Linked DNA regions of Xenopus tropicalis. The protein of the gene in region 1 interacts with the protein of each later gene in a biochemical or structural test. Links are inferred from orthologs where the notes say so. Each region holds a gene or a part of one and is shown on either strand. Other genes may lie near its edges.

Evidence for each region.
Region 2: the proteins of gabarap (region 1) and atg4b form a complex in vitro, tested with the Homo sapiens proteins (3 studies listed by BioGRID and IntAct, with this or other methods). The link is inferred for Xenopus tropicalis from reciprocal best matches to the Homo sapiens genes GABARAP and ATG4B.

Annotation. Positions count from the first base shown.
Region 1 is NC_030679.2:153,328,921-153,332,576, forward strand, and holds part of gabarap (GABA(A) receptor-associated protein like 1), read right to left. Parts: intron 1,615-3,656; coding exon 1,536-1,614; intron 392-1,535; coding exon 273-391; intron 1-272. UniProt on the Homo sapiens protein: Ubiquitin-like modifier that plays a role in intracellular transport of GABA(A) receptors and its interaction with the cytoskeleton.
Region 2 is NC_030681.2:125,732,752-125,736,148, forward strand, and holds part of atg4b (cysteine protease ATG4B), read right to left. Parts: intron 3,148-3,397; coding exon 3,068-3,147; intron 2,237-3,067; coding exon 2,067-2,236; intron 1,363-2,066; coding exon 1,284-1,362; intron 449-1,283; coding exon 303-448; intron 109-302; coding exon 52-108; intron 1-51. UniProt on the Homo sapiens protein: Cysteine protease that plays a key role in autophagy by mediating both proteolytic activation and delipidation of ATG8 family proteins. Required for canonical autophagy (macroautophagy), non-canonical autophagy as well as for mitophagy.

The DNA.
Region 1 (3,656 bases):
CAGTTCCTGCCCCTCACCTACCCCCAAGCCCAGCTCCTCACCTACCCCTCATTCTACCCTCTCCTATCACCCCTTGTACTTACCTACCCCTCATTCTACCCTCTCCTATCACCCCTTGTACTTACCTACCCCTCATTCTACCCTCTCCTATCACCCCTTGTACTTACCTACCCCTCATTCTACCCTCTCCTATCACCCCTTGTACTTACCTACCCCTCATTCTACCCTCTCCACCCCAAAACCCAAGAAAGGAGACTGCCCCTAGCACTTACTTGGTACAATTGCCCCATGGTGGCGCTGGTTGGGGGTATCACATTATTGACAAAGAAGAAGAGAGCGTCCTCAGCACGAAGGTGAATTCTCTTTCTAATGAGGAAGTAAAACTGCCCCACTGGGGGGAAACCAGAGACAGTCAGTGCCCCACACACCTTAGTACCCCTACCCACATACCCCAGGTACTGCCCTACTGGCACCCACACACCTTAGTACCCCTACCCACATACCCCAGGTACTGCCATACTGGAACCCATAATACCCCTACCCCACATACCCCAGGTACTGCCCTACTGGCACCCCACACACACCTTAGTACCCCTACCCACATACCCCAGGTACTGCCCTACTGGCACCCACACACCTTAGTACCCCTACCCACATACCCCAGGTACTGCCCTACTGGAACCCATAATACCCCTACCCACATACCCCAGATACTGCCCTACTGGCACCCACACACACCTTAGTACCCCTATCCACATACCCCAGGTACTGCCCTACTGGCACCCACACACCTTAGTACCCCTACCCACATACCCCAGGTACTGCCCTACTGGCACCCACACACCTTAGTACCCCTACCCACATACCCAAGGTACTGCCCTACTGGAACCCATAATACCCCTACCCACATACCCCAAGTACTGCCCTACTGGAACCCATAATACCCCTACCCACATACCCCAGGTACTGCCCTACTGGCACCCACCTTAGTACCCCTACCCACATACCCCAGGTACTGCCCTACTGGCACCCACACACGCTTAGTACCTCCTACCCACATACCCCAGGTACTGCCATACTGGCACCCCACACACCTTAGTACCCCTACCCACATACCCCAGGTACTGCCCCTACTGGCACCCCACACACTTAGTACCCCTACCCACATACCCAGGTACTGCCCTACTGGAACCCATAATACCCTACCCAACATACCCCAGGTACTGCCTACTGGAACCCATAATACCCCTACCTACATACCCCAGGTACTGCCCCTACTGGAACCCATAATACCCCTACCCACATACCCCAGGTACTGCCCTACTGGAACCCATAACACCCCTACCCACATACCCCAGGTACTGCCCTACTGGAACCCATAATACCCCTACCCACATACCCCAGGTACTGCCCTACTGGAACCCATAATACCCCTACCCACATACCCCAGGTACTGCCCTACTGGAACCCATAATACCCCTACCCACATACCCCAGATACTGCCCTACAGGGGGAGGGGAGGAGGCCACACCTACCTGTGAGGTCAGAGGGAACCAGGTATTTCTTCTTGTCCAGATCTCCTATTCGCGCTTTGGGCGCCTTTTCCACAATAACCTGCCAATGAGACGCGTGGATATTAGCGCCGCCTAATGCTCTACATCCTCTGATTGGCTACAGCTTGTGCTGCGCCATGAATATTCTAATGTTCTCATTTACCCCAGTCTCTCTCTCTCCCCATGTTATACCCCCAGTCTCTCTCTCTCTCCATGTTATACCCCCAGTCTCTCTCTCTCCCCATGTTATACCCCCAGTCTCTCTCTCTCCCCATGTTATACCCCAGTCTCTCTCTCTCCCATGTTATACCCCAGTCTTCTCTCTCCCCATGTTATACCCCAGTCTCTCTCTCTCCCCATGTTATACCCCCAGTCTCTCTCTCTCCCCATGTTATACCCCCAGTCTCTCCTCTCTCCCATGTTATACCCCCAGTCTCTCCCTCTCCCCATGTTATACCCCAGTCTCTCCTCTCCCCATGTTATACCCCCAGTCTCTCCCATGTTATACCCCAGTCTCTCCCTCTCCCATGTTTATACCCCCAGTCTCTCCCTCTCCCCATGTTATACCCCCAGTCTCTCCCTCTCCCATGTTATACCCCCAGTCTCTCCCTCTCCCCATGTTATACCCCCAGTCTCTCCCTCTCCCCATGTTATACCCCCAGTCTCTCCCTCTCCCCATGTTATACCCCAGTCTCTCCCTCTCCCCATGTTATACCCCCAGTCTCTCCCTCTCCCCATGTTATACGCCCAGTCTCTCCCTCTCCCCATGTTATACCCCAGTCTCTCCCTCTCCCCATGTTATACCCCCAGTCTCTCCCCATGTTATACCCCAGTCTCTCTCTCTCCCATGTTATACCCCAGTCTCTCTCTCTCTCCCCATGTTATACCCCCAGTCTCTCCCCATGTTATACCCCAGTCTCTCTCTCCCCATGTTATACCCCCAGTCTCTCTCTCCCCATGTTATACCCCAGTCTCTCTCTCCCCATGTTAAACCCCCAGTCTCTCTCTCCCCATGTTATACCCCAGTCTCTCTCTCTCCCCATGTTATACCCCAGTCTCTCCCTGTTATACCCCCAGTCTCTCTCTCTCCATGTTATACCCCCAGTCTCTCCCCATGTTATACCCCAGTCCTCTCTCCCCATGTTATACCCCAGTCTCTCCCATGTTATACCCCAGTCTCTCTCTCTCCCCATGTTAAACCCCCAGTCTCTCTCTCCCCATGTTATACCCCCAGTCTCTCTCTCTCCCCATGTTATACCCCCAGTCTCTCTCTCCCTCCCCATGTTATACCCCCAGTCTCTCCCATGTTATACCCCCAGTCTCTCTCTCCCCATGTTATACCCCCAGTCTCTCCCATGTTATACCCCCAGTCTCTCCCCATGTTATACCCCCAGTCTCTCTCTCTCCCATGTTATACCCCAGTCTCTCTCTCTCCCATGTTAAACCCCCAGTCTCTCTCTCCCCATGTTATACCCCCAGTCTCTCTCTCTCCCATGTTTACCCCCAGTCTCTCTCTCTCCCCATGTTATACCCCCAGTCTCTCTCTCTCCCCATGTTATACCCCCAGTCTCTCTCTCTCCCCATGTTATACCCCAGTCTCTCTCTCTCCCATGTTATACCCCCAGTCTCTCTCTCTCCCATGTTATACCCCCAGTCTCTCTCTCTCCCCATGTTATACCCCCAGTCTCTCTCTCTCCCCATGTTATACCCCCAGTCTCTCTCTCTCCCCATGTTATACCCCCAGTCTCTCTCTCTCTCCATGTTAAACCCCAGTCTCTCTCTCTCCCCATGTTATACCCAGTCTCTCTCTCTCCCCATGTTATACCCCAGTCTCTCTCTCTCCCCATGTTATACCCCAGTCCTCCCCATGTTATACCCCAGTCTCTCTCTCTCTCCCCATGTTATACCCCCAGTCTCTCTCTCTCCTCATGTTATACCCCCAGTCTCTCTCTCTCTCCCCATGTTATACCCCCAGTCTCTCTCTCTCCCCATGTTATACCCCCAGTCTCTCCCCATGTTATACCCCCAGTCTCTCTCTCTCTCTCTCTCTCCTCATGTTATACCCCAGTCTCTCTCTCTCTCCCCATGTTATACCCCCAGTCT
Region 2 (3,397 bases), on another chromosome or scaffold:
AATAATCCTAGGAATTAAATGTGGGTTAATATTTTCTCAAATTGCACCAACCTTTTTAATTTGTTGGCACCAATCCTCAAAGTCTTCTTGAGATCTACAGAAAAAGCCCTGGGAAGAAATAAATTAATTTAAAGCTTAAATGTTAGAGATGGATACTGGCTTCTAACATGCTACTGTTTTCTAGCAGAATTGTGTATTTCGCAGACATATACATACTGTGTGAAGGCTTCATAAATTGAAATCACTTCTATGAAATTGCATTTGCTGGAGCTAACACCTGCTCTTGGTCTCCTGGTACTCACCACAGCGATAGAAGGGTCAATCTCGGATACATGCATTCGACATGGAGGGTGCTGACAGTGGAAACTTTCGTCTTCTACAAAACAGCAGTCACTGGGCTCCACCGCAAGCTGTGTAGTGTGAGGGTCCAGGTAGATCAGCTCATCCCCTAAAAGAGACAGCTAAACATTGCAGTGAGTGTAATAAACTTGTGGCCCTATTTCGAATGACAAAATTCCCAAGACTTAACCAAAATTCCACTTTTATGTCTAAGAAAAATGTCAAAAACAGCATAAAATGGATACCAGAGATTCCCCAAATTAAGCACACTAATACATCAGGGATATGTTAGAGGGTTAGTATATTTCAAGTTTCTGTTTAGAGTGATACAAACAACTGTATAAAGCTGTCTGCTCCTTCCTTTTCCACTGCATGGCTGTGTCCTACTGTAGCTTGTTACACTTCACCACAATTATATATTAGTTTTCATAATAGCTACTACCCTGTTGTTCTCTCTGTTAGCAGTAAAATAGCTTTTAGTTAAGGATTCTCTCTGGGCCATGCAAAAGTGTATCTATGATGCTCAGATGAGAAAAGCCCTTTACCTTTTTCAATAACTAAGAAGTTGAAAGATTATTTTCTCTGAAAGGCCTAAATATATCAGGGCTGAAATGTATTTAGTTAGCAGGCACCCCTGGCTAGGTACGTTGGTATGTCAACGTAAAAAGATCAAAGGGTTTGACAACTTTTCAAAGATGGTGTTCAAGAGCCTATCAAATGTACATCTAAAGATTCCTGACCATAGTATAGCAAAAGTCAAACTAAAATCCTTGGAGCTACATTTTGTATATCTACTGCCCCTTCAAGCAAGCAAACAGTTGGGGTGCACCTTTTGGATATGAATATTCATTCATATCTTTCTGCCAATTACAGTATTAATAGTACTGATAATGTGGTGGAGTTTTCATAAATGTGTGTTGCTGTTAGTGGCAGAGCACCCTTACCTACATATCCTATGAAGTAATGAGCACTGTTGGGTCGGCCACCAATAACCCCCAGGGACTGAGGTACCATAAAGCAGTGCTGTGAGGTGGGCAAAGACATCAATTAGAAGACATTTTTTTCCCAAGGAAAATATTCATAAATAGATGCATTTCTCCCTATACTGAGAATACACATTACTGCATAAGAAAGTGTACGTTTTTAATTCTCTGACTGGCTACCAAATAGGAACATTCTAAAGAAACCTAAGCTCAAGAGAAATGTACAAATAACTTTAAAACAAAAAATACATAAATCTTAGGCTAGTGTTACATTTGACATTTCTCAAGTCATAGTTCACCCCCTGGGGCTGATTTAAAGGAATACTGCCATGGGAAAATATGTTTTTTTTCAAATTGCAGCAGTTAATAGAGCTTCCCCAACAGAATCCTGAATTGAAATACATTTTTCAAAAACACAAACAAATTTTTTCTATATTTAATTTTGAAATGTCACATGGGGCTAGCCATATTCTTCATTTCCCAGGGTAAACAGTGTCATTTAGAAATAAAAAGTATACCATAAAAATCATGTTAAAGTGTAAAACTGCACAAGTGCAATTGCCAATCACATCCAGTCAGCAATTGGCTCTGGGACATGTACACCAAGTTAGAAATATGAAAGCAAACATCTGATCTGTGGCACTGGTGCAATTTAGCACCTATGTTTGCAAGGTAGCCCTGAGTTGAGATCTTACGGACTTGTTTGCTATAATGAAGTTTTTAAGAAAACCTTTAAACATGTACCTTTAGTGTTTCAATATAGGCTTCATTGATATCACTTAGTCCCAGCCGAAGAGGTATGAGTAGCACAAGAGGCTTCCATAGGGAGCAGCTGGGGTCAGAGACGCCTGTATAGCCATTACAAAGGGCCCCAGCCTCGGAGCTCTCATTGGTTCCAGCTCTGCATAATCTGCCTAAAGAAAAGAAAATATTCTTCCATGATTCATACAGCTCGTATAGCGGCCTGTCAGGGAAGAGCACATAAACAACCCTTCACTGTTTTGAGATAAAGTGCAGATCTCTCCAGCATCTGTTAAAAAGCATTAAAATTCACAATTTCACACCCAGGGGCAGAAACAGCCTTGTGTGACACTAAGCAAGACATACACAAAAGGCAAAACCCACACAATAAGGCCAGTCACACATAGGAAATTTTAAAAATTCAAGCTCTCCATTTAACAAAATTCAGAGAAGTGCCAAGTGGGCTGGAGCATTTTGTCAACCGCTAACAGCAGTGGTCAAAATGAGGGAGGTGGCAATGTCAGATGCAGCATGTAAATAGATTGCTAGCCAGTGGCATTGAGACAGAAAAACACAATATACAGCTGACAGCCAATAACTATTTGGGTTTCAAGTTTTATTTGAAACTTTTTATATTTTGGTGACAGGTCCCTTTTAAAAACACCAAAGTCACAAATATACCAACCCTTGATTTATTAACACAAATAAATACAAATGAAAAGGTATTGAAATCCCAATACATAGTACCAAGGTACTAAAAGTGAAGCCAGTGGTGTATTGTTTGGGGGCCGGGGTCTGTTTCCTCTTTAGTTGTGCCACTTGGTGCACTTTTCTCTTTAGGCAGTAACAAAACAGCCCTAAAAGCTCATGTGCTGCAGAAAAACACTCATGTTTGCAATAAAGTCACTTTTTAATGAGGGTTCTGGCACAAATGGCTTGGAATAACAATAATTCTGGCACAGGGGTAAAAGAAATGGCTATTTTACCTCTTTCCATTCACTTACGTATCTCATCCATCACAACTGTGTTATCCATAGCTATATGAACAGCAATAGAGCTCCACTGGTCAAAAACCGCAAGTTTCCTTCAGAGAGAAAGTACAAATGGAGAAAGATGTGACATGAGAAAATCACGCATACTTTTTTTTTTTTTTTATTTAAGAAGTCCTTTATTCTGAGGTGAAAACTGACAAAATAAACATAAAGGATATACAAGTTAAATTGGTAACGGCAAGTAGACTTGCCATTGCCGAAAAGGGAAGGAGAGGTGGGCATATTGTAAGTTTCCCTTGCTATTTACTCAAACACTTGAAATGTGAGCTTAGGGGAAATAGG